2 linked regions of the Arabidopsis thaliana genome follow. The protein of the gene in region 1 purifies or fractionates together with the protein of each later gene. This does not show direct contact. Each region holds a gene or a part of one and is shown on either strand. Other genes may lie near its edges.

The links.
Region 2: the proteins of AT4G32605 (region 1) and AL4 fractionate together in Arabidopsis thaliana (co-fractionation; one large-scale study listed by BioGRID). This does not show direct contact.

Annotation. Positions count from the first base shown.
Region 1 is NC_003075.7:15,724,843-15,740,883, reverse strand, and holds AT4G32605 (Mitochondrial glycoprotein family protein), read left to right. Parts: upstream 1-12,906; 5' UTR 12,907-13,019; coding exon 13,020-13,193; intron 13,194-13,354; coding exon 13,355-13,680; intron 13,681-14,271; coding exon 14,272-14,455; 3' UTR 14,456-14,683; downstream 14,684-16,041. Other genes in the region: AT4G32630 (ArfGap/RecO-like zinc finger domain-containing protein), read right to left, coding at 79-168, 236-331, 411-533, 745-1,164, 1,245-1,658, 1,782-1,869, 1,961-2,022, 2,099-2,186 and 2 more; AT4G32620 (Enhancer of polycomb-like transcription factor protein), read right to left, coding at 3,662-4,188, 4,288-4,543, 4,971-6,539, 6,646-8,916; AT4G32610 (copper ion binding protein), read left to right, coding at 10,987-11,307, 11,709-11,973, 12,147-12,508; AT4G32600 (C3H4 type zinc finger protein), read right to left, coding at 15,147-15,425, 15,503-15,791, 15,885-16,010.
Region 2 is NC_003076.8:9,150,535-9,166,624, forward strand, and holds AL4 (alfin-like 4), read right to left. Parts: upstream 9,960-16,090; 5' UTR 9,688-9,959; coding exon 9,591-9,687; intron 9,499-9,590; coding exon 9,466-9,498; intron 8,903-9,465; coding exon 8,674-8,902; intron 8,523-8,673; coding exon 8,390-8,522; intron 8,308-8,389; coding exon 8,032-8,307; 3' UTR 7,784-8,031; downstream 1-7,783. Other genes in the region: AT5G26180 (S-adenosyl-L-methionine-dependent methyltransferases superfamily protein), read left to right, coding at 110-208, 286-339, 487-631, 796-857, 1,140-1,227, 1,300-1,380, 1,575-1,736, 1,817-2,061; AT5G26190 (Cysteine/Histidine-rich C1 domain family protein), read right to left, coding at 3,094-4,764; AT5G26200 (Mitochondrial substrate carrier family protein), read left to right, coding at 6,734-7,762; AT5G26220 (ChaC-like family protein), read right to left, coding at 12,644-12,801, 12,891-13,042, 13,124-13,164, 13,257-13,313, 13,417-13,473, 13,805-13,881, 13,971-14,079. UniProt on the Arabidopsis thaliana protein: Histone-binding component that specifically recognizes H3 tails trimethylated on 'Lys-4' (H3K4me3), which mark transcription start sites of virtually all active genes.

The sequences.
Region 1 (16,041 bases):
AAGAGAAAGGAACTGAGTATATATATATATTCATTTTCATCATATATACTATCAGGAAATTAACTCTAGGATTCATACTTGTGGTGTTTGGTTTGGAGCTGTATCATCATAGCTAAGATCAAAGGGATTTGCTGCTTTTGCTGTATATGTTAAGGCTCCCATAGCCTGCTAAGAAAAAGGACATATATCAGCATAAAACCAGATGCTGTAATAATTATGTCAATGGAACATATACCACAGGATATTGATAATATTGCATGCCATATCCCATGCCATGATGTTGACCATGAACTTGCTGAGGGGCAAATGAGAAGCCTCCAGTGAAAAGGTCCTGCCAATGGTTAGATTCTTATGATCAGAGATTCCCAAAAGAGTATCCAAATTTCTGTTATAAGAGAAGGGTTCGTTACCTCAGGAAGCGCCTTTCTTATGCTAGATTGTGTCTCATCATCTTGATGATGCTCAGATCCAACTCCATGAGCATAATCTGTGATAGCCAGTGTTGTCTGTTCCATAGAGAAATCTGATGGTCCCTTAGATGATATATGTAGATGCCACATGTGTTTGCAAAGGGTTAGCACATGAAGAGAACAAGTTTTATTGAAACTATAGTCTTTTCTTCTTTTTCAAAGTCTGTAAATGATCCGGTTACATCTACTGTTACTAACAGTTGATGCAGCTTAAACTCCTGAATTCAAGAAAATATTTGTAAATGTGTGTTTAAAAACTGCTACAGAGACCAACCTGGTTATTTGCAAGTGTAGCCGTCTCTTTTGTATTTAAGTTATCAGGAGCAACAGGTACCACTGGACCTGAAGAACCGGAATGAGCATGTGCAGTTGTTGGTGATGTGGCAAAAGAGGTAACACTGTCTGGTATTCCTGGCATTGTCTGGGTCCCGAGGTTAACTGCGGTATAGTTTTCAGTAGAGGAAATATCACTTGTGTTCCATAGTTCATAGTTGTTTGTTCCAGGGACAACAGAAGGAACAGAGGATCCAAACAACAAAGCTTCCAAAGAATTAGGAGCTGGCTCCTCAGTGGTCTTTAGAGATGCAGGAATTTCACTTGAATTCTTAATAATGCCTTCATCAGATAGTTCTGAAACTGGTACATCATCAATTAAACTTCTAGGAATTTCCATTTTCTCAGATGATGCAGTCATCTGCAAAATGCAACTTGTTCACATATTAACTCTAGACAAAATGCATAAAACAAAATGCAATAGATATAACTGTAGATTACCTGATTATTCACTGGATCCTTCTTTTTCTCAACTTTTACAATATTGAGTTCGCTGGTATGGCGTACAATGGGAAAGCTTGGCATGTCTTTGTTACTTGAGAGGTCAAGTGATTTGGAGCTTCCTCTTGAATCTTTACGTGCATCATATCTCTTAACACTCCCATCGTCTCTAAACCTATCATCGACTATCTCAAAGCGAATAGGACTCTTTGGTAAACCTCTAGACCTTGGATTATGCGTAACATGTTGTTGTTTATGGTTCTTGTCATCAAAATAAAACCTTAGAGATTCACTTCCACTCCTCCCAGCAGCACTAGATCTTTCGATGTCAGATTTATCCACAGAGTGTAAACTTCTAGATCCGAGAACATGTGCACTGGTCTTCTTACTTTCCCTGTAATCTTCTGTGACATCCTAAACATTGTAACATATAATGTTGTCCCAAAATGAGTTGCAACACTTAGCTTCAGGTTTGGCTAATTAAGCTGAATCAAGAAAAAGGTAAATGTAATGAAGCAAGTAAGAAAAGCAGTTTACCGATTTCTGCTGTGAGATCTTGTCACTGCTACTGTATCTTTTGTCCACATAAACACTCCTGATGAAATCTCGGAGCTTGAAAATATTACTGAACAAAAAGAAAGAAAACTGAGGTCAACATATAAAAATTTTGCTACTCCTAGTGTTAACTTGGCTGAGATTAATAAATGTCCAAGAACCTGCGATCGGGGTAACCATCACGGTGAGCATCCCATTCTTTAAAATAAATTTGTCTGGCTCGCTGCAGAGAACACAATGAAAGTTTACAGTACTAGAAGATGGATGATTGAGACAAAATGAGAAGCTCAATATCAAACCTCGTTTCCTCCTGCGCGAAGTGCACTAACTTCGTCTGCTGTGAACTTGGCCATTGATACAGATTTAACACGATGTGTGAATTCTCGGCTGCAAATATATACAAAAAGAAACACATGCATGATATGTAATTTGGACCAACACTTGCAAGTACCAGAGTTTTTCCTTGGATTGATAGAGAAATCAAAAGAAGAAAAATGAAAGGAGAAGAGGAAAAGACTTACTGGATTCCGCTGCAGTTAACGCAGACAAAAGTCCAGAAAGTTGAGCATACATATTGTGGACCCTGCAAAGATTCACATGTTAGACAACAATGAGCTATTCAGATGGATCATTGGCTCCAACAAATGAATGTACGTATGATCAGCTAAAAATGTTGTACCAACCAGACTATTGCAATTGATGCATCTCCGGTTCTCAGGAAGCTTCAATAAACTCCGGATAGCCTTTTCGGTTCGCTCGTCTTCCTTCATTCTTGGAAAAATGCCTCTCTCATGAAGAAAAACAATATCTCAAATGAGAAATCCTATCAAAGAGCAATGTCATCATTTACCTGAGAAGAAATTACTATCTTAAGCCAAAAACATTGAGGTTATTCTCGTGCATCTTTAAATCCTTAATCTTACGTTACATGCGAGAAACATGGGAAATTTTAAGCTTCAAGCCCCTGATGCTCTAAAATGTTCAAACAAACAAAAAAAAAAAGAGAAGAGAAAAACCTTACAAAAAGAAGAGGAACCAGTCGAAGAAGAGAATTTGGGGTGGAAAGAATGATGAGAAAGAACTTCTCTCAGGAGGTTGTCCAAGATATGACAAATTTAGGAAATAAGTAACAGAGAGATCATGAAGCCAGCAAACGAATGAGACATCTTCCGACAAAACTGCTAACTTCAAAGATTTCCCGCCGTTGGAATTTCTCTCACCACCTTTTCTTCTCTCTCATTTTTCCCAATGTTTTACAAATTATAAGAGAATACTAAATTTTTGGAAGAGTATTGACAAATGTGATTTGTAACTAATTTTTGTAATTATATGACTACATGGCAAGTGTTGCAAGTTTGACTTCGTTTCAATATTTTTCAAACTTTATGATCTTGACTAAAATTGAAAAGAAGGCAGAGAAGAAATATGGAGAAGAAGAGCACCGCAAAATACTTGCAGTAGAATAATCTTTTTTTTGCTCAAACTAAATCTCTCTACCAAAAGAAGCCTAATAAACCAAATTACTTACAATCTCCTCTTTTCTTTTTTCTCTCTTTTTTTTTTTTTTTTTTTTTACCATCTCCTCAATTTTTGTCTCTCTTCTTAACCTACTAAGAACATTCCCAGCCGATGGGTACATGAGATCAAGTTTCAGAGTCCCAGTTCGGTGTTATTGCTGCATCAAAATATAGCTTACTTAAAGCAGAGGGAGGCAAATTTCTGTACAGTGGAGCTCATCTGGGTCGTTTTTTAATTCGTGTCAAGACCAGCTCGTGTGTTGAACAGGACATGTCGAATCACTATCTCTTCTTTTGCTCAAGAGGTGACAATACCCAGACTTAACAAGAGTGGTATCTATTGACTCATCCTTCGCTTGAGCTTTCTACCCCATTGTTGTTGCCTAGGTCCTCGGAAGAAGCTTTAACTGCCTCTGCACACATGAGAGCAGCTGCAGCTTTCTGGATCGCTAGATCTGCTTTGTACCTCAAACTCTCTGCTCTTTCCCGCTTGAGCTTCGCCAAAGCGCATGCTCGCCTTGCAGCACCAGCTGCATCTCGCAATTTGTACTCATCAATGTCTGTACTATTCCGTATTCCTTCCACATCAGGACGCTGAGATCCGTTGGAGTAACAGACAAGATTGGAACTGGGGCATTCAGAATAGCCTGCATCCCATCGTTCACTCGTATTCCTCTTCCCATTGATTCTTTGCGACTTGTTTTGGTGATTCCTATGATATCCATTTCCACCGCTCGAGAAATATCCCATGCCTAGGTCACGAGGGGAATATGTTCCTGGATGTACAGAAAATTCATTCGAGTGCTCATAGCTTTGATTTGAATATAAAAACCTCTCGTCGCCAGAGACAAAACCAACAGGTCTTCTTCCTGCTAGAGAAATGGAAAAGTTGGATTAAACACAGACTTCATTTTGAAAAATCAGAGTCAATAGAGGATTTATAGAATATCAAGCAGGTAAAAACGAGTTACCTGATGAATTACAGCCATCATAATCTCCCAAAGCAGAACTATGTTGAGCATAAACTGAGAGTTTCTTCTGTGACCTGTGTTTTGTTCCCCTGTGTTTGACTTCCAAACCTCGAGGCTTAAAACAGAAAGCAAACATCGCTGGCTTCTCAGTAGGTGACTGTTTCTTCTGCGACCCACAGGAATTTGGAGTGTTTGCTTTGCTCATAACCAACTCCCAGTCTTTGAGCTCCCTTTGATATTTTTCCCATAGAGGTGGCTGAATTGCAAGGGTAGAAAACAAGTGTTTACGTTAGGCAAAATTAAAAATATTGCAGCAGAGTAACTACATTATTGTTGAGCTAGCAAGTAAGACTAATCAACAAGGAGTAAAATCAACAGACTATAGAAGATGCTACAGTTATGGACTTCCAGACATCTTCGTGCACAACAAACTGGAATGCAAAAAGATGCAATTTTCCCCCTAATAGACGTTCCATTTGCATAAAACACCCACATCATTCAATATCCTGAAAAGAACACTAAGTAATACCTACTACTAGACATAGCCTTATTGTCCACAATTCTGCATTTCCCCCGATTCCAAAAAGATCTATGTTGAGCCTAGTCATGCAGATTTTTAAATCTCAAGAAAAACATGAAAACCAAATAAATAATAAAAGATGAAAAGGCATCAGAGATTGTACCTGAAGATGCCTGATCAATGGCATTCCCTTCCTCTGCCTCTTTGTTCTCCAAAGCTCATATATTGTTTCCATTGCTTCCAAGGATCCAACTCCAGCCGTCAATTCTTGAATTTCGATTAAGGTAAAGTTATCACGCTGCTTTACAAATGAAGCCTTCTCAAACATGTCCATTGCCTTCTCAAACATGTCCTCAGTGATCTCACAAGAGCCACTATTCTCAGCACTCGAACACTCACGAATTCTCAAAAGGCACTGCTCATCATCGCTGTCCATGTCATACATAACACGTGAAGGATCTAATGCCATCTCAACATCAGTTTCAGTCTGCCGAAAATATTTAGAAGAACTGCGAATAAATTCAGTTTCTGTTCCATCAAAATTATCCCTTTCTATCATGCGGATGCCAGGAATAGGAATATTTCTAACTAAAGCAGCCCGAGTATTTCTATTGTAGCACTCTTCATGCATCTCTTTAAAAAGGAACCACTGGCCCCTATCAGGGAACTCCAAGGTCCAATCTTTTCCACCTTTCCACATCATAGCATGTGTAAACCTATTCACTGACCCAGGTTGCAGAAATTGATGTGCCCTGTGTGAGTATTTTGTTGTCCCTGAGATTTTTACCGCAAGTCTCCATTCATTATTATCAAAAGGTTCCAGGAAAATCTGAGCTCCATATTCTCGCCAGCCTCTATCACCAAGAGTGACTAATACATTGGCATCACATAAACTAGACTCGAGATCTTTCTGAATACCTTTGGTAACATCAGCGGTAGACCTTCTAATTCTTTTGTTCGGCATCCCCTTGAGCAGGGAACCTTTGTTTCTAGAATCAGAACCCCCAGAAGGCAATGAATAAGACACTTGGGTACGTCGCTTCTTAGGTCCATTTGCCAAATTAGTGTTCAAAAAGTCTCCCTTTGAATCCGACCAACCATGCGAGAGATGGCCATTTAAAGAACTTTTACTTCGGTTCCACATACTTCTTGGGGCAGTGGCCTTTGGACTTGAGTTGCTACTACCTTGAATATTCAAGGCCAGATTACTTGACTGCGGAGTACCATCCTCACAATCATCAGATATTGGAACTTGAATACTAATCCCATTCACCGAAACATTAGACCTGGTTTCATGCTTATGTCTGACAACAGAAGAACTGTATGACATCCAGTTTTCAGAATCAGACCCCAGCTGCTGACTTTGAGACGGAGTATGAAGGTCTTTTGACTCTTGCGCTCTGGAAGAAGTGATAATTGGTTCATCAGTTTGGCTCTTACTCTTGAGAGACAGTTCAGAATGCTCATTTGTAAAATCTGCCATATCACAACCTCTATGTGTTACCAAATCGCGTTCTATTCCTAGGAAGTCTGCTGAATCATGACCCAGCTCCCTTATCATGTTCAAGTGTAAACTGAGTAACAGTGTAGGTGGCCGAGCAGTAAAAAGAAGTGCAAATGGAGACGTATTTTGCTTCTTGTAGCAAACAGATGTGGGCCACGCTTCAGCAGATGATGATCCTCTAGAAACAAGGCCTGAGCTGATTCCATGCCTAGATCTCTTCTGCATAACCTGATGTGCAAGATTAAAAAAAAAAACGAATTGGTATGAGATAATAGAAATAAAAGTATAACCAACGAAGCAATGTACCAGAACATTCATTAAAGAATCACTGTACCTTCTGCAGGACCTTCATGTTATTGTGAGTACACTCTGCAATTGATACTTGCTTAACCAGCAAAGAATGTCTCCTGACATTCTGTTCCAAGTATGACCACTTTGAATGTTTCACCTCATGGAAACTGTAGATTTGAAATCCAAGCTGCCTTTGGAAACCTGGGATGCAAGAAACTTGGAGACCAATTGAGAAAACTGGCAACTGCAAGTCAGCATCCGCTCCTTGTGCTCCTTGCTTATTAGAATGATCTACTACCATCAAGATACGGAAAATCAATTGAACAACTTCCATTAAGCAGCCTTCAAAAATTAGATACCTTAACCCATCTTGGTTATTCAGGAAAATCATTTCCAAACGAACTCTTGGCCACAAAGTCACAAGTGTACCATGACGAAGCAAAAGAGCAGCACGTGAAAGCCAGTCAACATCGGCCATAAGAAAGTAGCTCATCAAGGAAACACCCTGTAGGCTGAGGGACAACTCAAATTGCTCTGATTCATTCCACGGGCAACAAAGCTCCAGATCCCCAGAATCTTCAATAGGCAAAAACTCTACACCAGGATCCGGACTTTTTGATACAAGAAACTGCTTCAAAAACTCAACACTATTGTAACCTGACTCTTTGTAGATATCCTTCTTTGCTGTATGAAGTCTTCTCCTACAATAGACAATAGGAAATATGCTACCATTCCGAAAACCAGAGCTTTCCAACTCGTTTTTACTTGGTCCAGGTAATCCACATGATGCAAGAGAACTAGCCGATCTATCTGTGACATCCCCATTCATTTTAACAGATTCATTAGATGTCATTACGTCAGTTTTTTTCCGCTTTTGTACAGCCTTAAGAGTGGAGGATTTGTCCCGATGTCTAGACCGAGCCAACCATGTGATGATTGGCTCTGATTCCATGCAGCTATCATCTTCTAGCTTTTCCTTCTGCTTCTCCTCGTCTTTGCTGGAAGTATCATTCCCTTTTACTTTCTGAGTAGACTTTGACTCTGAACAACGCCTTTTCCGCTGATTTTTTCCAGGAACTTCAGAAGGAAACAACAGAATTTTGAATCTTTCACCCTGTAAGTTGATCCACTCCTCATCACGATCATCATATTTTACATGATGCAGGTTCTTGTCTCCATCGAAACCATCCACAAACCCATGATACCATCTCTCATCCAATGGCCAGAAAACTTTAATCTTTTTGTTTAACAACCAGTGTGAATCCACATCTGAAAACAAAATTTCATAAAAGTGGCGTCTTTTCCGAACTTTACCCTTCCCATCATCATTATGTCTCCTTGGTCGCAACATTCTATCATCAGTGTCATCTGAGACACATTTAGAACTAAGCAACTCGGACCGAGGATCAACTGAATTCTTACCAGAAGGCAATGGATGCAATCTACTCGCAGATGGTGAACCAGGAGTAACAGAATTTGAAGGAAACTGGGTACAGTTTGGATCAAACCGTGAAGACAGCATTATTGCAGCATTAGCTTCAAGATTCTCCTCATCATCTTCCCGTGATACCTTGGATATTCTACCAGAAGCATCACCTGAAGACTTGGCCTCTTTTCCCACGCGTCTGTTTGATGCTGAGGACTTCCTTTTTCTGCTGTTACTATTTCTTTGTTTAACAACAACCAGCTGATCATCTTTCACTGGAGACTGATTAGAATGCCCATTTTCCAACTGCAACGGAGCTGCGGAATTAGATTCTTTGATATCTTTGTCAGAGTCCTTCTCTTCAACTTTAGAGGGTTGATCCTGAACACTAGATTCTTCAGCAGTAACCTTAGGGATATTAACAACCAGCTCCTCCTGACTATCAGACTCCCCTGCAGACTTCTGTGCTAGGCCATTCTCAAACCTACTCCTCCCAACAAAATCTCTCCTGCGTCTAGGAACATAAATCGTACTACTTGCCAAACCAACAGAAATCACTTGAAGCCCATTACTGTCACACAATTTCTCATCCAAACCCACCTCCTTGGAGTCCTCCAAATTGTGCAATATAGTGGTGCCATTGCATGCCTTATCCAGAATACTCTCGTTCTGGCTACCTACTTTCTTAAAACTACTTAGAGAAACAACTTTCCTGCTCTTCTTGTCCTGCTTCAACTGATCACCATCAATCCCAGACCTATGTTTTCTTTTAAAGCTCTTATTCACTGAATCCTTGGAAATGCTAGACTTATAGAGCGTCTTAAGATCTAAAGACCTGGATTTCTTCGAAATTCCCACTCCATTAGAGTTACCTAGTCTATTTTCCATGAAAGCCACCTCGAACCAATACCCAGAATCAAAAGCCAGCAGGTCTCAAATTCCATCATATACGCAAGCAAACATTTTTCAGATCTGTGACACCAAAACCAAACCCAGAATCACAAAAAGTACCCAAAGTATGATAAAAGAAGAACACACAAGTCACCCAAAGAAACAGATCAAATCCCACTTCAGGAAAAAACTTTGCATTGAAATCCAAGCAATTGTTTTTTCAACAATCAAGCAAAATTTAACTGCAAAAAATTAAAAAAAAAAAGAGAGAAATTTGCATGCCTACCTGCATCACTTTATCAGACGAAATCGAGTCTCTTAAGGACCTTTATAGTCGCCACAATCCCAAAATCAAAATTAGGGTTTCGGTAAATCGGACTGCGAATCGGATCCCTAAATCAAACAATCGAAAATTTCCCAAAAGTATTCGTTCAATTTAGCCGAAAATAAAAAAAGCAAAATTTGCTTCTTTTTTTTTTCTTTTTTAACCGGGAGAAACGGGAGAGCTAGGGTTTCGTCTGGTTCCGCGAGAGTAAGGTTTTTTCAGTTATAAAGAAAACATATTCCAAATAAACATCGTATCACGGGTACCGTCCGATGGAGACGCGTTACTATATCTACGGTCCATATTTAGTTTCGAAATAAGCACTAAATTTTTAACTCTGCAACAGAAAAGATATAATGGACGTTCGAGATTCTCAGCTGCGAAATATTTGTTTGGACGGTCAGGATTTAAAGATTTCTTCAGAGAGAATAATTTATTGTTGTCACGTGTGTTGCTAACCTACCGCAATCTTGTGTTTGTCCACCTAGCCAACAATTGTTAGAGACATCATTCAACTTAACAACTATTATTACTAGAATACTAGGGGATAATTTAAGTATAAAATCATCACATTACAGTATTATCTTTTTAATAATTTATATATATATATATATATTATTGTTATTTTCTTTTAATATATAAACTTCATTCATCCATTAGCTTAACAATTTTCCAATATTTTGTAAAAATATATATATACATATTATTAGGAGTTTTCGGACCATATTTAAGTATTAGTGTATTACTACCTTATTATGTGTTTAAATATATATTTTTATTAAATATAGACATATAGCAAAAAGAATTAGTAGTAGAGAGATTGATTGGAATCAATTTTTGATTAATTATATAGTGTAAACTAAGCTTTAAGAATATTTAAAAAATAGATTTGGTTTCCTTATAAATATGAATTAAGGTCATTATTAACGTATCATAAGATTTAGAGCAATGTATAAACACAAGAAGAAAAACAATAAAAGTTCAGAAATTCCTTTTTCGATTCAAAAATACGTTAAAAATTGACAAAATATTTTGGCGGGTGGATTGTATATTGGAACCCAAAATTTGCTTTTTTAATACAGAAAAATAAAATAAAATTGGCTTAATTGGAAAAACTAATATTGAGTTCATAAACCAAATTAAGGTTTAATTAGACAGTCTAATCCAATGTTCGGTTCAATTTTGTAATCAAATGTTCGGTTCAATTTTGTAATCAAATGTTCGGTTTGATGATCCATAAGAGAGGAGATAACATCCCAAATAGAGACAGATCCCCTTCCCTTGTCGTGTAGCCCAGTAGCTCTAATCGCTACGATTGCTACACACCACATCCCTTAAGAAAACCCTAATCATCTCTCTCTCGCATTCTATAGGAATCGCTTCCCGAAGCTTCCAACATTCTCTTGTTTCTCCTTTGTCTCTCAATTTCAGTTTCCTATATTATACGCTTGTATTAATCACCAGTATACATTTTGTCGTTTCTGGGTCTGGAACCCTAGTAGTTATTATAGCATCCATCGCTTTCTTCAATCGCCGTCCATCAGAGTTTCAAGGGATTTGCTTTAAAGATCAATCCTTTCCTAAGAAAATAGCGACAATTCATCAGCTTTTCCTTTCCCATCCTTCATTACCTTAACTTACTCGAGATTCATCTTCCAGCTGAAATTGTGAAACTTCGTTTCTGGGTTTTTATCAGAAAACACTCTGTGACTTATTGTGTGGTGATCGAGGAAAGAAAAAAGATGGTTGGTGGTGGAAACAGGAGAGATGAGGGATCGATGCCGATTCAGAACACCAACTTGTTTGCTGCTTTGGATACTTCGAGGAAGAAGAAGAAGTCTGATAAGGCTGGTAAGAGCAAAGCTTCCTCTAAGAGAGAAGATTCACAGAAGGAGCCTGAGCCACAGGTTTTCTGGGCACCTACGCCTCTCAAAGCAAAGGCTTGGGCTGATATCGATAGCGATGATGAAGATGATGATTATTACGCTACCACTGCTCCACCTCAGTCCCTGTGGAGCACTTCTGAAGCCTCCCATTCAGATGCTAAAGACGTTCCCGCTGAGGTCACAAGTCCAAATCTTTCATATATATGTTGATTTTGGGTTCATCATCATAGCTTTATGCATTTCACATGTTGAAAATTGTAACACTGGTTTAATATGTCTCTTGCAATAAGCCTCTTTAGATTTCAAATGCTTCCACGAATTGAATGAGTTGGCCTTTTTTTCTACTGTTGTTATCTCGCTTAGGCTTAGGCTTGTGTTGTCTGAATTCTGAAAGGGAAATTAATGTTATTGTGAAGTAAGCTGCTTTGTCTCCTGAAGGTTCATATATCTAATTGCATTGTTATCGAAATTTTTCTAGGCAATGTAAGTTTGTTGTGCAATGGTTTCTCTAAACCGTGGTTGTGTGCCTATCTGTTCATTTGTTTCTCATAGAGATGCATTTGATTTCAATGTCGCAGGAAATTGAAAGCGAAGAAGACACTCTTGATGATGGAGATGATGATGATGTGGAGGAAGATCACGAGCAGGGAACAGAGACACAAGTTCATCCAGAAGCAGAGCCTGAGGTGAAAAAGGCTCCTGAAGTTCGTGCTCCTCCTAAGGAGGCAGAGAGGCAACTTTCCAAGAAAGAGAGGAAAAAGAAGGAACTTGCTGAGCTTGAGGCTTTGCTAGCAGATTTTGGAGTTGCAACCAAAGATGAGAATGGTCAACAAGACTCTCAAGGTATAGCACAATTTCACTTTACTATATTCACTCGTTGGTAACAATTCTACTCTACTCTATTCACTCGTTGGTGATATTTATCTGTGGATACCTTTCTACGCTGAGGTATCACTGGCTGAGAAAACCATGTTATGGCTAATACTGATAGACGTTTCTTCTGCAAATATGAACAGATAAGGGGGAGAAGAAAGAAGTGAATGATGAGGGAGAGAAGAAGGAGAACACAACCGGAGAATCAAAGGCCTCAAAGAAGAAGAAAAAGAAGGACAAACAGAAGGAGCTAAAAGAATCCCAGAGTGAAGTGAAGAGCAACTCGGATGCTGCAAGTGAGTCCGCTGAGCAGGAGGAGTCTTCTTCTTCCATCGACGTCAAAGAACGGCTAAAGAAGATTGCATCAATGAAGAAGAAGAAATCAAGCAAGGAGGTTGATGGTGCTTCAACAGCTGCTGCAAAGGAAGCAGCTGCGAGGAAGGCAAAGTTGGCCGCAGCGAAGAAAAAAGAAAAGAAAAACTACAATCAGCAACCTGTGAGGTGAAGAAATCAATCCACCCACCGTTGTGATATGAACATAGGTTTTGTTCATATGAGACTTACTTGCCTTGAACAAATCTTTTGATGGGGAATGTGGTTGGGTCGTGTTTTAGAGTTATGATAACTTTGGATCTTTTAATCCTATCACAATGGAACATGACAAGAAGAAACTCTGTTTGAATTTTTCCTTTTACATACATTCTTTGCTCATCATGGTTATACTTGGATTTGTTTTATCTCCCACAACAATTTCTACTTCTTGATCTTACATATTATTAGTTGTGGCTAAGCCAGCGCTTAATAAAGTTAATCTATGAGTCTGAATCGACAAAATCAATTGATTATTTTAATTATATGTTTATCAAACGAATTAGATCATATTTTTGACAAACCTAAATAGGTATATTTCTCTTGCGGTTTATTCGACGAAAAAGAAAAGTTGGTACAGTATTTATTTTACTCTCTTAAGACAATTCGTCGTGTTGCTTGCTACTCTCGACGACGGAGAAGTAGAAATGTGGAGAAGAGTGATCGGAAATGTCGCCGTCCGGCATCAATTACAGCGAGCGCTATCTAGTAAAGCCGGTGGAAGTGGAAAGAGCGCCAACGTTTCAGCTGCAGTGGATTCGATGCTTCTGCGTTCCCTCAAGGAACATTACTTAGAGGTTTCTAAGATGACTCCTCCTCCGGTTCGTTCCTCCTCTTCTCTCTCTCTTTCTGTGTTTTCTCTCTATGTCTCGTCTTAGGTACAACTGAAATTTCAGTACTGTTACTTAAACCCTAGCTTAGCTGCTGCTTCCTCCACTTAGGGTTTATGGTGGGATTTACAGATTTTTGATTGATTTTGCAGAAAGTGAGTCCTCCGTCACCATTTGAGATTGTGAAAGGGTCGCTTGAAGGAAGTACTGGTGCTGTTCTGAAGAAATCTGTTGGAAATGAAGAGATCAATCTTTTCGTTATGCGCTTGGCTCACGGAGGTGATGAAGAAGACGATGGTGGGATCAACCAGTTGTTCCTTCATGTTGCTGTATCAAAGCCAAATCAGCCTGATTCTTTGCATTTCCTTTGTGGCCTTTACCCTGATGCATTGGGTATTCATTCTGTTTCCATGAGGCCAAAACTTGAGGCTTTGGAGATGTCTGATGATCCTACTCAATACACAGGCCCTTCTTTTGAGTGAGTTTCTCTCTTTTTAACTTCTTTTTAGTGAGTTTAGAGACTTACTCAATATATGCTTGCCTTTCTAGTTATTCAGTTGATGGTTGAGACCTTATAGGTGATTCATTTCTGTTTTGAGCTGTCTCGTCTTGCTACACTCAGAGCTCTCAAACTAAGAATAGGCCAACTAAGTATATCGTCATTCTTAAATAATCTCTGACTCTCTCAAGGATGATTTTAAGAAACAGCTTATCTCTTTTGTACCAGTTATTGAGGAATGTGAATGTAGAATAGAATGGTGGTAGATGTGTTCTAGACATTTCGATTTTTCAGTTTCAGTTACTGCTCTTCCTCATGTGACATATTTGTAGTGCAGTCTCACTATTGACACACAATCGGTTTGTTTCTATTATGAAGCCTTTGAATCAAGGATTTGTCTCTTGTCATGTTCCTTACATTCTTCTCTCATTGCATTTCTCAGTTTTAAAGAAGAGAGTTTGTGCATCCTATTCAGCATTCTGTTTTCTCTGTTCTAAAGATAATGCGTAACTTACAATTGATAGAAAATTCACTCGATTGGCAAGTAAGTGTTTCTATTTGTTTTGACAGAGAGCTCGATGAGAAGATGAGAGATGTATTCCATGGATTCCTAGAGGAACGAGGTGTGAACGAGAGTCTCTTCCCCTTTCTTCAGGCATGGCTCTATGTAAAGGATCACCGTAACCTACTGCGATGGTTCAAATCAGTTGGCACGTTTGTTCATGAAAACCCATCTGCAGAAAACACCGCCTAGAAGGACGTGTCTTTTCGGTCTCTGGATCGGTTTCTGCGGTTAATTTTTTTAGTATGGCACTATACCGCTTTTAAATGTTTCAGGAACTGAATCACTTTTATTTTCAAACCATTTCAAAACATATGCATCCGAGATTAATGTTAAGAAAAAGTTCTCTATTCGACTGTGTGAGCTCTCTCTACTAAAGGCAAAACTATTATGATCTTTATGCTTCTTGTAAGTTACCGGTTCTCACACTAATTTTACCGAGCCAACGAGTCAGTGTCTAGTAATTCAAAAACTAAGATAACAAAATCGTTGAAGCCATTAAAAGTTTTGTGGTCCAGTATAAAGGTATAAATATTTTATTTGGTTTATTCTAATTTTTCGCAGAGAGACCATGAATGAGGCACTTTAGCTGCACAAGGTCTCGAAAGATCCCTGGCTCTCGTATAGAGGTGGTACTCGTGACAAATTCAGAGAATAAATAAAAACAAGTATTTGGAACACGCTCAAACTCAATCACCGATTCTCGAACTCTTCTACACTCAAGAGGTTCCAATTCACAACGGCAAAAAGCATTTACAGAACAGGATCTTCGCCGTGTCTTTCTTCACCTTCTTAGCAATGAGAAGCAAACCCCATTTTGTGTAGGAACATCGCCAAACGGCTAATTTGCCGTTTTCTCGGACATAGAGCAAATCTCGAAGATCTAGATAACATTATTGGCCAAACCATTCTCAACTCTAAGTTCACTCCGTTGTTGTTGTTGCTGTTGTTGATGGTTATCGTTTTCCCCAGAAGAGAGCGAGGTTAAGATCCCTTGGCTAGTCAAATCAGAGTTCTTCTCCCCAACTTCGCTCTTGCATAGAGGGCAAGAGGCATTGATCTTCAGCCATTTGTCAACGCACTCTTTGTGGAAGAAATGTGAGCATGGAAGCTCTCTTAACTCCTCGTTATTCGCATATTTCGCTAAGCAAATGCAACAGACCTGCAAATATTTTTATATTCAGCAACTTGATTGTATCTGTGTGTTTATGTGTAAATTCAAAGTGTAAGGAAACTCACTGCGTCCTCTCCTGAAATAGCTCGTTCGTTATCTGTTCCAGCCGCCACAACTCCACCTTCGCTAGTACTTGAACCATTGTCATCGCCATTACTTCTGCTTTTCTTCAACTTAAATTTATGAGTCGGCAACGCATTAATCGACTCAGGTGTGGCACCTCGAGGTTGCGTTAAATCTTCTCTATATCCGAGAATTGAGATTATGCAAGGCAAGCAGCAACATATTGTTGTACAGAGGATGAAGGGCATCGCGTAGCCAATACAGCTAAAGGTAAGAAACACTAAACATAACCTAGAACATACAAGAGAACAAAAATATGGGTCAGTCTTGGAAAATGCAGTCTGATGTTTGAGTCTAATTGCTGTATATCTAAAAGAATATCACCTGTACAAGTTAGGAGCCTCGGCAGCAGATGAATGCCCTCCAAATATCCATACATTACCTACCACAAACCACACCGCAAAGAAGCAATCCAGAGCCATTTTGAAGTATTCCACGATAACTTTAAGTCTGGAAGCCAAAATCAACGACCAAAATCATA
Region 2 (16,090 bases), on another chromosome or scaffold:
AAAATCTTGGATGTGTACAATATATGTGAACTGTGCTTTCTATGATGTCACAATCTTCTCTTTGTTATGAGATTTCATTTTAACTCGTATTTTTTCACTATAAAAACAGGTGCAGAAGGACGAGACAGTTCCTGACTTGTTGGTGTTGCCCCCTGGCAGCGATTTGCATGCTCATCGTTTGGTTGCGAATGGACGTATATTTTTGCAGGTAAATTGTGAATGATCTTTGTGAATTCTGTTTGATATTTGGTTAATTTGACTGACATTTATTCTTTCAAATGATAGGGGAAAGCAAGTTCAATGGTAGCAGCAGCACTGCAGCCACAAGCAGGATGGGAGGTAGGCCACAGTTCTCGCATTCATTTACCAGTATTTTTCCATTTGACAAAAAATGTCCCATTTGGTGTTTCTCATGGTGATTGTGGAATAGACTTAATGTATCTTGTCTGCCTAGTTAATGTGCTTTATTTTTCCTATGTTATCAAGGTTCTTGATGCCTGTTCAGCTCCAGGAAACAAAACTATTCATCTTGCTGCTCTTATGGAAGGACAAGGAAAAATCATAGCATGTGAGCTAAATGAAGAACGAGTTAAGCGTTTGGAACATACTATAAAGCTCTCTGGTGCCTCCAGTATCCTTCTCTTGCCTTCTTTCTCGTATAACTCTTTTAGCTTCTGTTTGATAATTTGTCACAAGTGAGTTTAATTACATGGAATTTGAAGAAAAAACTTGATTGGATAAATGCTTGTCAAGTCATGTCCGTCTATGAGGGCTTTTCTTAATGCCAATTTGTAGATATCGAAGTCTGTCATGGTGATTTTTTGGGCCTAAATCCGAAAGATCCTTCTTTTGCGAAGGTAAGCATTACTTAGTCTGTAGCATGACTATCTATTTTTCTTATTGTTCCATGAAAGGTTCCCACACCAACGTTCTTAAAATCATTTCTTGATTTTGGATCTATTTAAGATAGTACAAGTCCAGTATTTTCATTATCTTTTGTTTTGATAGTCTACCGTGAAGAGTCACTCTCTAAAATGAACAAGAGTACCCATCTGATAGCATTGTCTAGAGTCTTGTAGCAAAAGCAGATATAGTCATTTGAGTTATTCTTGATGCTTGGGTGTGGCTGACTATTGCAGATTCGGGCTATATTGTTGGATCCTTCTTGCTCTGGCTCTGGCACGATTACAGATCGTTTGGACCATCTCCTTCCTTCTCATTCAGAAGGTATTAGCTGATCTTCTGTGTGTGTGTGTTATGTTACGAAGTGACTGAACCTTAACACACCTTTCCATGTAGATAATAACATGAACTATGACTCCATGAGACTGCACAAGCTCGCTGTTTTCCAGAAAAAGGCTCTTGCCCATGCACTCTCCTGTAAGTTTATATACTTGTCTCATGTTAGCTAAAACAAAAAATGAGGGTTTTACTTAGCTTTTGAAGAATCTCCCAAACACGTTGATCCATGTTAAATTTCCCCTCTATGAATGCATAAACCATATATACACTAAGAGAATCTTACTCTATATGTAGATATGAATGAGAACTAAAAACTTATATGTTTTAATTAGTTCCAAAGGTTGAGAGAGTCGTATACAGCACATGCTCCATCTACCAAATAGAAAACGAAGATGTCGTCTCCTCTGTTTTACCTCTGGCATCATCCTTGGGCTTCAAACTTGCTACCCCCTTTCCTCAGTGGCAGCGTCGTGGTCTCCCTGTATTTGCAGGATGTAAGTATCACCCTTACCATCGGGTTTCACCTGATTGACTCTGTTTCTAACCTTTTGATCATGTTGGCTTTGGCTTGCAGCTGAACATCTACTTAGGATGGATCCGGTGGAGGACAAAGAAGGGTTCTTCATCGCTTTATTCGTCAGGGCAAACAAACTCGATAACCCAAAATCGTCTGAACTTCCCGATAGAGTGTGTAGACGAAGACCCAAAGAAAGAACCATGCAGTTACATCCCTATCTTTGTCCCAAAATGTTCAGAGCTTGGAGTGGGACCTTGCACAGGCTCAAGACTAGGTTCCTGTTATCACGTAATGGTTGTTGAATTTTCAATTTTGTTTATGCCTTTGATCTTCATGTTGTCGTCAAAATTTTGCAACAAAGGCATGAAAGGAACATCGTAAGGTAAAATCAGAACCTCTTTAACTTTTTATCACATTACAAATTGCAGTACACAACATTATGGTTTTTTCATCAAAACAGAACACACAAAGAGAGATAATAAGCTCAAGCGACTTGAGCCTGAATGGTTTTTGGTTTCTTAGGCTCGGGAGAAGGAAGCTTCTCAACGGTCACCCCTCAACATATTGTCTATGTTCGGTGCTCATTACTTCGGTAAATTTAACTTCCTCACTATCTCCCACATCCTCTCAGTCCACACGTTCTCCTCTTAGCTTCCCTCTGCTTCTCTCCGCTCACCATAAGCACCTTCTCATTCTCAATCTCTACTCTGACATCTTCTCCTTCAAACTCTGGCATACCCACCACAAAAGTGTAGGCGCTCGGGTACTTATAACATAGGCATTGCTGACATATGCTCTTGAGGGATTGCTGCGGTCTGCCTTTTCATGTTCCTCCGGGAATTCGTTCTAGTATGTCTTCGAGGAAAATGGTGGTGTTGAGCCTAACCTGTCCACACCAAGATATATTCGTTGTTTGCCTTTCTGTTATGTCTTTAGTCCTAAAATGATATGTTGTATTGTATCTGTGCGTTAGGTCTTTGAAGTTTATATAGATTGATTAGGAAATGCTTTGTATTCGTAACGTATGTTCCCTTGCAGGTACATAAACGACGAAGCGTGGAAGATTTGTGTCCTATGAATGGTCTGAAACAGTATTTGCGATATCTGGTTAATCTTTTTACAAAAAATGTCTGAATGGTGAAAAATAAGCATTGGATCATAGAGATTGTACATTTGATATATATAAAAATAAAGGCAATTATTAAGCATAGATCACAGATTTAGACTAACCACTGAACGTAGTGAGATTTATATAAAAAAAATAGCATTGAACTTATTAAGACACAACTATGAAAGTAATTAATGTGATCTTTGCCACAACATTATTATTTAGATTACAGTTTAATACGTTGCATACTCATCACAAGAGAATCGAGACATTTAAGAGAACATAGGCATGATGTATCAGTCTCATCCTTGCTCTTCAGAACAAAAGCATCTTTGCATCGCAACGAACATATAGTACAAAACGGTCGAGATGTATGGTTATTGGAAACCACTTGGAACTCACGACTACATAAAAGAAAACTGTGCCCTGGCCTCATGTAAGGTGATTTACCGAGTACGCAGTCGATATGAAGAGTCGAACAACATTTGTCACATGAGTAAAACCACTTCCTTGGATCGGTTGGTTTTTCGCATATCTCACACCAATAATTACCGTAGCGATATCCACTGTATCGTAGATAGAGAGGATGTTTGTCGTTCTTGTTGAAGACCTCTTTTGGTAAAGTAGCACATTTGAAGCACAAAAAGAAATCAAGTTTAACACAACTCAGTGAGCCGTACACCATTTGGTCACACGCCGAGCACTCCCGAGGAAAAAGTGAGAGGATAAATAAGGAATGCAAATGACTATCATGGTTAAACTCGTCTGAGATTGTAGCACAACGAACATCCAACTTTACATTTCCGCTCTCGTACCTAAACCCGTTGCTTGGTCTTTGACAAGCAACACATGTGAAAAAGCTTTTGGAAAGCTCGAGATCTTCTCCAGGTTTAGGATTCGGGTAAAGAGTAAAGTGATTCTTGTGTAACTCATGCCTTTTTGTCCGCGGAAGATTAGCGCATGTTTCATGAAGAATGAAATCACAATGCGTGCATATATAGCATGCATCGTAGTAGAATGGAAGAACGCATGCGTAGCATCTTTGGTTTTCGTCGCGAATAAGAACATCTTGATAAATAAATCTTAATATATGTTCATGACTAAAGTGTTTTATAACTTTGTCATCAATCACCTCAAATGGCGTTATATCCTCGGTTTTGTTATCTCCCTCTTCTTCAGGTATTCCATCAAGTTCTTTCCCATCCCATACATCATCCCTTATTGCGCACTTGGAATGGACTGCATAATGACAAACCGAGCAAGAATACGCTCCATATTGGTTATTGATAATTTTATGGCAAACTCCGCATATCCACTCCTCCGGTCTAAGAATATCGACATGAGAAATACGGTGATCATGACGATTAATACTTATAACACTAGGTAAATCAATGCAATCTCTATGAATGATGAAGCAACATTGAAGACATGTGCAAGGATATGAGGAATTATCTACAGAGCCGCAAGCATCGCAAGTGAAGGAGACAGAATCGATGGGCATAAGGGAAAGCGGGTGCTTGTGGGATGTTGTCTTGTAGATAAGTAATGGCCTCTTCAGACAAGCCATACACACCTCGAACATACAACGTGAACAATTGTAGAACATATCCAATAACTTGTATCTACAAAGACAACATTGGTCCCGTCTACGGTAACCTATGATACGTTCATGCAGCTTAAGAGGATGCTTATGATGAGAAGGGCTGGTGATCTCAATGCAGTCTTCATGAAGAGAAAACTCGCATTGATTACAAGTCAAGACTTTGGTGGGTTCAAGTCTCTCTATGGAACACACTCTGCATTTAGAGGAAATGTTTGTAGGGAACAAAAAATGACGATGAACTGCCAATTTAACTGCACCAAGAAACCCGTCACGGATTTTGTCTATCTCTCCCATGTTTTGATTGTATTGAATTTACATAATATGTGTATATATATTTTTATATTATTGTGTATGATGTATCTTAAGGAGCAAATGATTCCTTTCGTCTAGATCATTGTAACAAAAACCTTTCTTATAAAGTAAACGAAAGAGAACACTTACAAAAAACTATTGCTTTGTTTTGAATTAAGTTATGTCCGAATATTAGCTGGGGCACGTTTCTTTGCTACTTTTCTATAAGGAATCAAAAAGGTGAGGAAAATATATGAAATTGCTTATAAACGTGTGTCTTATTTAGAGAGACAATTTAAGTGATGTCCAAAAAAAAATGATGTTTATGTATTGTGTTAACAATAACGTCAAAAGTAGTGACCCAGTGGTAAAAAATTGGGGATATGGTGTCAATCCATTCCTCCCTTATATTCGATTTTTACTGAGAATTCTTTCACTTCTACTTGGCCAGTCAAAATAGTATTATACTGTCCAAGCCTCTGTGGTCTAGTGGCGCAAGCTTTGATGAAGGGTGAAACCTTCGTACCTAAGTTCCATTTTCTTTTGAAACAAAATTACATTTGTTTGGAAAGTTTGACAATTGGGTCTTAACCTAATTAATTTATCTAGTATTTAGAAATACAGGCGGCTTGACTAACCCCTTGTTTACCAGATCAGCCGATAGAGTATATAAAAAAAAAAAAATAGTTTAAATCATTTGAACGGATATTTAAAAGCTACTTTCATCCAGTAAAATAGTGAGATCGGTTTTGGCTAGATTTGAACTAGTCTGGTATGAGAAGTGTTAGTGTAGTCAAGAATGCTGAACATGTACACCAGAACTATACAACTAAACACAACAGTCAACACATATACCAAAAACAGTTAATATTTATATCTAAATCCTTTAAACTCATTAAATTTATGCTCCACAACATTTAAAGTGACATGGAAACCAAGCAGCATTTGGTGCAGTGACGAGTTAGGTCTCTCATAAAAAGTGAGATTTATGGCCCCTTGAATTCGAGGCTTTTCAGTTAAAATTGACGAGACATATGAGGAATCAACGGCTGACTCTCGTAAATTGTGAGATTATGGAAATCAGTTTGAAATGATTTTTCTACTTTATCCTAAGAAAAATCAAACGAAATTACATGCAATCAAACGATTTAACAATGATAAACAAGCATTTGATCATAAGAACCGAGAAGATTGACAAAAATAAACATAAAGACAATTATATTAAGTACTAGACTACTAGTATAGAGAGCACATAGATCACAAGATTTAGTATTATTCTGTTTGTCAAAACACTATACACTTAACACTTTACTTATCATCTAAAATCAATAAACTTTCATTTACAATCGAAAACTTGCATTTGCAATCTAGACTATTTCTTGGACCTTTTAAAAAAGTTATTTATTTCCATAAAATGTAAGAAATTCTATAAATAGGCTCTGTTATCCATACTATTATACATATGCATCTAATTTTATTTAAAATGTAACTAAAACAGTTATTGATAAATACATTATATCACAAAATAATCAAATGCAAAACCTACAGAAATCAGTAAAAATAAAATAAAATAATAAATATAATCCACAGAAGGATGAAACAAGTGGCGATTCCGACAGAAGCCACTCTCTTCTCAGCCTCATGTAACCTTAAAAACTGTGAGTTTCTCTAACATAAACCAACCAACACTTGCCACGTGCCCAGTCCCATTACTCCTCCTCACACACCTCTTGAGTCCGTTAAAGGCCGCTCCTTTTATGTTATCCACACGACCCATCGTTTTGGCTCTGACTCTATATTCACTATAATAATATTAATACACGAGTTCATAGATTTTGAAGCTAATAAATCCACAGAGATTTTCTCTCTTTGATCACAATTCAATCATACACTCTATTCTCATCTCTTACTCAGGTCAAAACTCTCTAAAGTTGGAATCTTGATTTGGTTTTTAAGGTAAGATTAGCTCAAAATGAGTTTAGGTGCTTTGATGGAAGAGAAGAGAAGAGCAACAACTTCATCTTCTTCTTCTCAGGTACATATGTCAAATGATATAGATTGGCAAATGCTTGATAAATCGAGGTTTTTCTTCCTCGGTGCTGCTCTTTTCTCCGGTGTATCCACTGCTCTTTACCCTATTGTAGTTCTCAAAACAAGGCAACAAGTCTCTCCGACTCGTGTCTCATGTGCCAACATTTCTCTGGCTATTGCTAGACTTGAAGGTCTTAAAGGGTTTTACAAGGGTTTTGGAACATCTTTGCTTGGAACCATCCCGGCTCGTGCTCTCTATATGACTGCTCTAGAGATTACAAAGAGTAGTGTAGGTCAAGCAACTGTTAGGTTAGGATTGTCTGATACTACGTCTTTGGCTGTTGCTAATGGTGCAGCTGGTTTGACCTCGGCTGTGGCTGCCCAGACTGTCTGGACTCCGATTGATATTGTGAGTCAAGGGCTTATGGTTCAAGGCGATGTCTCCTTGAGTAAGCATCTTCCTGGAGTGATGAACTCTTGCAGATACAGAAATGGGTTTGATGCTTTTAGAAAGATTCTTTACACAGATGGACCAAGAGGGTTCTACAGAGGATTTGGGATCTCGATCTTGACTTACGCACCTTCCAACGCGGTTTGGTGGGCGTCTTATTCTTTGGCTCAAAAATCAATTTGGTCTCGATACAAGCACTCCTACAACCACAAGGAAGATGCTGGTGGCTCAGTGGTGGTTCAAGCGTTGAGTGCAGCTACAGCAAGCGGTTGCTCGGCTTTAGTAACTATGCCAGTAGACACAATCAAGACGCGGTTGCAAGTCTTAGACGCAGAAGAGAACGGGAGGAGACGAGCAATGACAGTGATGCAGTCAGTGAAGAGCTTGATGAAGGAAGGAGGAGTTGGTGCTTGTTACAGAGGATTAGGACCAAGATGGGTCTCAATGTCGATGTCCGCAACAACGATGATCACAACCTACGAGTTCTTGAAGCGCCTAGCAACAAAGAAGCAGAAATGATATATTGATAAAACCTTGTTGTGTTAAGACTAACCAAAATACTTTTGATTGAGTTTGAAGAATGTTAATAAACAAACATAAAACAGAGCAAAAGATCATTACCCCTAAACAAAGAGTTATCCCTTCAATCGCCAAAATGTAACAATGAAAAAACTAAAATGTCTTCCTAAATTACCAAATCCATATGACAAATCTGATCTAAACCAAACAGTTAAGCTGTTCATCATCATATGCAAAGGTAGATACACAGAAGCGAGCGGTCAACAAATTTAGGAACGAGCCCTTTTGTTGCTGCAAGAAGGGCACTTGTATTGCTTGATGTGCTCAGCTCTTGCTGGTGTTATCTTAACACACTTTCCATGAAACCACATCTCACAGAGGTCACAGCAAATCCAGAACTCATCAGCTGCATAGCTCTCACCACATGCTCCACACTGTGTTTCACCTTGCTCATCCTCATCCTCCTCTTCCACACCTTCCTCTTCCTCCTCCTCATCATCTTTCGGCTCCGGCTTTGAGAACTTGGCACGGGATTCAGATCCTCGCTGTAACGTGAGACAAAGAAACCAGAATTAGTACAAGGATTAAACTGTAGAGAAGAAGTACAGTGGAAAACAAAGTCTCTACCTTGGAGCTTGATTTGGATCTGTTGCTGCTGTTGTTGGAAACAGAGGACTTATCTTTTCCTTGTTTCTTAGCAGTGCCAGCTACAACCTCAAAGATTGTTGGGAGGTCATTCACCATATTGAAAAGCCTCTTCCTGTAACAAATGTGAAAGAACATAAATCACAGAGAGCTACATAAACGGTGAAGGAGTAGAACAATGAGTGACTGAGAGGCTTGCATCTATATACCACCAAGGAACATAGATGTAAGAAGATTAGACTTAAAGAGGAGAAGGATATACATACCTATCAGCTTTGTCAAATCCAAACCTGGCTCCAAAAAAGAAAGCAACAGCAAGAAGCCAAGCATCACTGTGGACAGCAACAAGGGACAACCAATCCTTTTCCGCCATCCCGTCTCTGGCAAAATTGATACCCAAGACAGGCTCTGGGAGCTCAGGAGGAACCTCTTCAGCTGGCAAATTCACTTCCCAGTGCTCATTTGGATGTCCGTAAAGGCAAAGGTTCTCCTTTTCTATAATCACAAAAGGAAAATGATGACAATTGTTCAAAAAACCTTAAATTAAAACCAAGTCAAACAAAAAATCAACACTTTGACTCCGCTCAAACTCTACACTGCAATTCAAATAAATCTGACAAAATCACAATTTTATCCACAAAACAGAGACAATAGAATCTATGAACCCTAAATGCTTCACTGAAACAACAACAATCAGATTGAAACAAACCACAACGAAGCAAATTCAAAAAACCAAACTTTCGCCGGCGAGAATCAATCTCGAAGGAACAACAACACTCACAAGGATCACAAACAAATTTTTTCTTTAGTTGAAAACACAATCGAACCAAGTCAAACAAAAATCAATACTTTCGACACTGGAGCGCAATTCAAATAAATCTAAACAAAATCATAAACAGAAAAGAGAGAGAGAGAGAGACTATGAACCCTAAATGCTTCACTGAAACAACAACACTCAGATTAAAACAGAGCAAAACATAGAAAAATTCAAAAAACACAAATAAAAATCAAAACTTTCGTTAATTCAAATCAAATCTCAAAGGAACAACAACACTCACCGGGATCACAAAGTCGGAAAAACTCCTGAACATCTGCACACACAAAAGGGTAATCTCAAAATTCAGTTTTTTTCCGGTGACAAAACTGAGATAGTAATAAGAAGAAAGAAAAAACAAATTGTTACCAGTGGTTAAAGCCTTAATCATGCCAGCTCTACGACCCTTAAAATCCCTAAACACCTCTTCAACAGTGCGTGGATTGTACGCGCCACCTGCTTCCATCTTTCTTACAGAACAAACAGCTTCGAAGGAGACAAGACAAGAGTGAAAGAGAGAGAGAGAGAGAGACAAGTATTTGACCGGCGCTGAGAGAATTTGGGTTTGCGAGAGAAAGAAAGATGTGAAAGAGAAAAAGGGCGGACCCAAAAACAATTAAGCGGATTTAATAAGATGAGGAGGAGTCCGCAAAATGAATCTGATGAGGAGGAGAGCACGATAAGTTTTATCTTTCATCCTCTTAGATCTTGACGCGTATCTCCTGATTTCTGTTGTTGTATCTATGGATATGTTTTTAATTGGATTGGCTTATTTTTCGGGTAATAGATGTTTATCAAGCTTGAAATTAAGAGTTTTGTGTTAATGATACATTAAATTGTAATGGTTGTAAGATTGCAGAAAGTTTTATTAGATACTCTGTTTTTTCGAAACAAATGTTCGGTAATCTGGTATCTGCGAAATAAATTTGACCGTTTTTCTGTTTTTCGCGGTAAATGTTCGGTAATCTGGTAACTCAGAAATAAATTTGACCGTTTTCTATATTTTCATTCGCGCTCTTTTTGAACATGGTAAGGGATACATACTTTATTTTAGATTAGTGAGAGGTTTCGGTAAGTGTTTATCAAATATTCAGTTTTTCGCTTTAAATTTCGGTAATCTGATATTTAAGAAATAAGTTTGACTTTGTTCTACATTTTTTGGTTTCGTTTTGTCTTTCGCGCCAATTTTTGGTATTCTGGTATCTGAGAAATAAGTTTGACTGTTAATTTTATTTCTTCACTCGAGGTCTAGTCTTTTTTTTAAAAGAGTAATAATAGTCTGGTTTTGATTAATGAGAGCTTTTAAATAGTCTTACTAGTTACTAGATACCTTTTTCGCACCAAATTTTTGGTGATCTGGTGTTTGATAAATAAGTTCAATCTCTTCTCTTTTTCAAGGTCTTTTTGATTTTTTAATAAGTACTATGCATTATTAATATTTTGGAAAAAAGTTTATTCAAAATACTTGGTTCTTTCGTGTCAATCATCCAAATATATCGATAACCCATATACAATTTGATAGATCGAACTATACACTAGGAATAAAATTGTAGTTTCATGGATTTCATGAATTTATGAATCATATCTAATTCCAATATAGTAAGATTTTGAAGTAGTGTTATCTATAAAATCATGATTCAGTCCTCAATTTTGATATTTTATGTGGATAGAAAATCTTAACTTGTAGGTAATTTGGTGAGAGTGAGACTGATAAAAGAGAATAAGAACTATGTTTTACTGAACAAAGTACTTAAAGCAATGAATATATTTTTGTTTTCTAAATTGAATTGAAGAGACACGGAGAGAGTAGTAATGTTGATAGATTCAAATGTCAAACACCTCCTCTAGAATCCTTAATCTTTGTATGAGGTACACTTCAAGATCTTCAAGAATTCTTTTGATTTTTTTTCTAAATCAAATGCAACGTTAAATTTGACTCTAGAAAATGGGCTTGAAGTCTCCAAGCTAAACTCATTACATGTCACACAGACACGCAAGATAGTGATCTGATGGCTTTATTTGCCCAAACTGGATACAAAATCCCAATACCATCAATAAGTTCTGTAATAATGCAAGCAAGACGATAAGCGCATTGAACTATATTGCATTCAAAGATTGTGATATGCATCAGATGTCATTGAATATTTCTCAATTTGATCTTTTGATAAAGATCCCATGAAATCATTGACGGTTGCATAAAAATTCTTAATGTTTTCGCTAGTTATTATTACATTCACAATTAACAAAATTCAAAATTTATATAAATCGGCTCATCTTCCACTTTTCCAATTACTCATATGTATATGATTTTTCCACAATTTGAATTAAGGTAACTTCTATTATCGTCTTGATATAATTCTCGCTTATCAAACTTTATATTTGGAAAATAACATATTCAATTGGACGAGAAAGATACATATGTGAAACTTTCACTAATCTTAAAGAAAAAACATTAAAATTTGGGATTGCATAAAGTTAAGTCTCACTAAAATCCAACTTGGCAAAGTTATTGCACAAAGATAAGTCTAACAAAATCCGACAAATGGCAAGATTCTAATTAGTTTTGGTTTGACATATATTATTATTATTATTATTTTCATTTTGACATATGTTATTTAATAAATTAAATCTAACACTTGTGAAGAAATTTTTATTCTAAAAAATCATTAATTTCTTAATATCATATAATTTTCTAAAATTGGTAAAAAAAATCTAAAATTGACTATTTTTCTTTGTTTGAGTTTTATTGGGTCTGAGTTTTTGGAAATTTAGGATTTTGTTTCACTAAATAATAAACAATTAAACATGGTAAGTTAGAAAACTGTGTAACAGTTGTAAACACACTGTTTTATTGAAAAATCTCAAAAACAAAATTATCTTCACACTCTTCTCATTTCTCTTTCGTAATATATATAAGATATAAATTGACTGCTTCTTTGATTTGTCACTTTGAACTGCTAATCATTCAATTTAGAGAGTACTTTGTTGATAAATGGTTTTTCAGTTCAACTTGGAGGAGAAATAAGAAGGTTACAAGCTTACAGCCCAACTAAGCTATATAGTTCTTGGGCTTAGCCCAATAATACAATACTGAATTTAGAGAGTTTTATGAGGGCTTCGAAAAGTATTGAGAATAGAAATTGTTTTCAATACTCACTACCAAATGCTTGATTGTGTCTATATGGAGTTATAGTCTAGTACCAAAGAGAAATCTATAACAATTGGCAGAGCTAAAGATCGGTTATTATTCTCATAAATTGCATCTCATATCATACAATGTTATGAATTCTCAATAAATGCAGAGCAAAACAAAACATCTCAAGGTCAAGATGTGATCAAATATTAAGCTGAAAGATAAAGAGTTAACATTAGCCTCGTCACCACAATGCTTTTTTAAGTTAGCTCCATAACTTTTGCTGTCTTCATGATGCAAAGACCCGTTGACGAGTGGAAACATGAGCTTGAGACTTGACGGATACATGAGAAACAATAGGCTTCAACAATGCCTTCACTTCCTCCGGTAAATCGAGTTGCTTCCTAACCTCATTCGCTAACTCAATCACATACTCTTCCTCATGCTCTGTTATCACAACATTTCATCTATCAAAAATCATACCAAAAACAGTGGTTTCTTTAATATAAAGTCGTTAAGAAAGCTCTCTCTTATACCAATGTCGAACATTGCTTTCTCTAGCTTGAAAAGATACTCTCGGTTGTTCCCACAAGGTCCCGAAGCCGTAGCGATTTGCCTCGCCATTTCTTCCAATGGAGCTGGACCTAAGTAGTATTTGTTCGACACTTTGTCTGGTGTTGACGTGAAGCTACACAAAGAAACCAAACTGATTTCAACATTGAAATTTCCTAATTAGAATCATTAAGGGATATTTATGATTAAAACTTACACAATAACTCCGGTAACGATTGGCGTGGAAGTGTCATTTTCCTGCATTCAAGAAATAGAAATCAAATAAATAAATAAAAATACTAAAATTTGGGAAAAAGACAACAACAATAAAACAGCAACAAGTTTCTTACAGTGTAAAACTCAACAAGTGTTTTTGAGTCGTATTCACACTCTCTTCGTTCCAAGTACTGCAGAAGAAACATGAGCCATATCAACATATATTAAGATCCAAACAAAATAAACACACAAACACAAAACTAAACCAATAAAAATACAGAATCTTCTTTTTACCTCCATTGCTAGTTTCTCTTTCTCTGGTCCTCCACGAACACAATAAGCAGCACCCCACTGCTCAATTTAAACAGAAATTTTCAACATCAATTTCAAATTGCATTTTTGCCATAGACTAATTAAGTATAAAGCTATTTCTAAAGCTAAATATGGCAAAATGGACAGTGCTATTTTGTAAATAAATGGTGCATTTTAATCCAAAAATACAAAAAAGATATAGAAAATAATTATAACCAGAAATTCGTTAAAATTCGGCACGAAAATTCCAACACACTAGTGATTATTTTGCAACTAATTTCCACAATCTTCTATTTACTATACTTATTTAATAAAATTAATTTTTTTTGAACACCAAATTCTAATAAAATAATTAAAAGCAATGACTTACGCAAATAGCTCCGGTGGATTGCTCCAGCGTACAAGTCCTAGCAGGATGTTCAGGAGTACCTCTATGATCAATACACGCTACAAAAAAGAATAAGAAAACATAAGCAAACAATTTGATTCAATCTTTCAACAACAACAAAAAAACAATGTGTTGTTATTATACATACCTAGATCGAAGACACGTTTATAGTCCTTGATATAACCAATGAGTTTTTCATCAAAATCAAAACCTGGGTTCCAGATCAAAGAACCATATCCAAATACCCACAAAACCATCTTTGATCCTTAGCCTCACACACAAACAACAATCTTTAGAGAAAATGAGAAGAAGAAAGAATGTGATATTTTTGAAAGAAGTGGGAGAGAATTGTATTAATATATACAGAGTGAAAAAAGATTTTGGGTGTAAAAATAGAATCCCGAGATGTGTGGGAGTTAATGATTTGAATCTAGACGGCTTTTTGAGGTTTATACATTTTTTACCGTACATTTCGGCATTTAAAGCAGATCCTACTCTCTTCCTAACTCTAATCTAACGCATCTTTTTTCTTTCTTTCTTGTTTTTAGTTTGTGATACATTGAATCAAGACACCTTTTTGTTATTATTATTCTTACCTAATAGAGACAGAAATGGTCCAACATAGCATAAGTCTTAGCCCAAACCCACGTTTTTTCATTCTGGTTAGGATATTTTTTTGGGTAAAAGTCAAATTTTGTCTTTAAATATTGGTTGGTGGAAACAAAAGGGAGATGGAGAGGAGTGGACAGAGCCACAAGTGCACAACTCTCAAAATATCTATCTTTTTTGTTGATTTGGTGTATATGGATGTAATGTTGACGATGATTGGCTACTCGAAAGAGATCGATGTGTAATTGGTTGAGTTGGGAGAGATGATTATGGAGAAGTGACTCGTTTTGGGAGTCAAATTGATGACTAAATTTTACTATAAGTTGGTGTAAGCTACACAAGTGGATGTCCTTAGTTGGGTCGCATCTTCTTTTATCTACAAGTTGGGCTCTTAAAACGGCTGAATTTATTTATGGGGAGAATAGTTGGGCCTTCTTAAGAAAATATAGTTTCTACGAAAGTACAACCAAAAAATGAAGAAACAAAATGACTCTAGTATCGGTTCTGCAGCCATATTATTTATATTAGCTTGAAAGCACGTTGAGCCGTGGGTTCATTGGTGTTGGACCACTCATTTTGGATTTGGTGGCACGTTTTGGTTGTAACTTGTAATTACTGTCACTCCCTAAACAAATACTAAAGTCATTATATACTATTATTGTTCAACTCCAAATTGTTAATTATACCACCGTCATAATGTTTCTTTTGTTATTTAGACATTTACGCTCTATATAGTCAGTATACGTAGGGCATGTGTAGCACCGTATCGTTGACGACGACCTTCAACGGCAGAAATGTAGAAGCCGACGAAAGCAAAGGAAACGATCGATGGTCAAAGAATGGCACCAACGTCGTTGATTTCAGAGCAACATCACTAAGATATATATTTCCGGTGACTGAATTTTTGTCTTCACGGAAATATAAAAGTTGTTACCAAAATATTGAAAATTAATTAAGTTAGCTGATTCAATTAATTCTTCTATTGTTCGCCGAAAGTAGTCTTACAGCGACACTGTGACGATCAGTCTCACAAACTCTTTAAATTTTCAGAGCATGTAATAAATATTGTCGTTGAGACAGCGATGCTAGTATGCTACAGAAGTCATTAAAATTGAGAGAGCTGGCTCTACGAAGAGAGATTATTGAGAGTGAGAGAGGCGACGACGTGGCCGAATGTGATTGGGTTTTATTTGTAACAAAACCAAAAAAATAAAGCACTAGTGCTTTGTTTCCTCCGCCAAAAAAGAACCCGACGGTTTCATCTCTCTCTCTACAAAACAAAAATCCGGTGGTATGATTTGCAATTAGTCGACGGCGATGATGTGTGTAATCGTGGATCTGAGACGCCGGATTTATTTAATTGGCAGACGCCGGATTTGTGTTGATGAGATAGGTTCCATTTTTTATCTCTCAATAAGAGAGACTGTTGGAATCTCATCTTTGTTAACAATATGCAACAGAGATTGGAAGAGAAAGATGTGAGAAGATGGTGAGAGTAAGAACAATCGTAACTCGTAAGCAAAAGAAGAAGAGAACAAGAAGAAGTGTGTTGTAGGTGGAAGAAGAACAAATAAGAAAAAAAGAGACCACTCTGTTTTGTTTTGTTTTATCTTAATTGCGAGTGTGCTTCGTAATCTTGTTAATATGCTAACATACAAT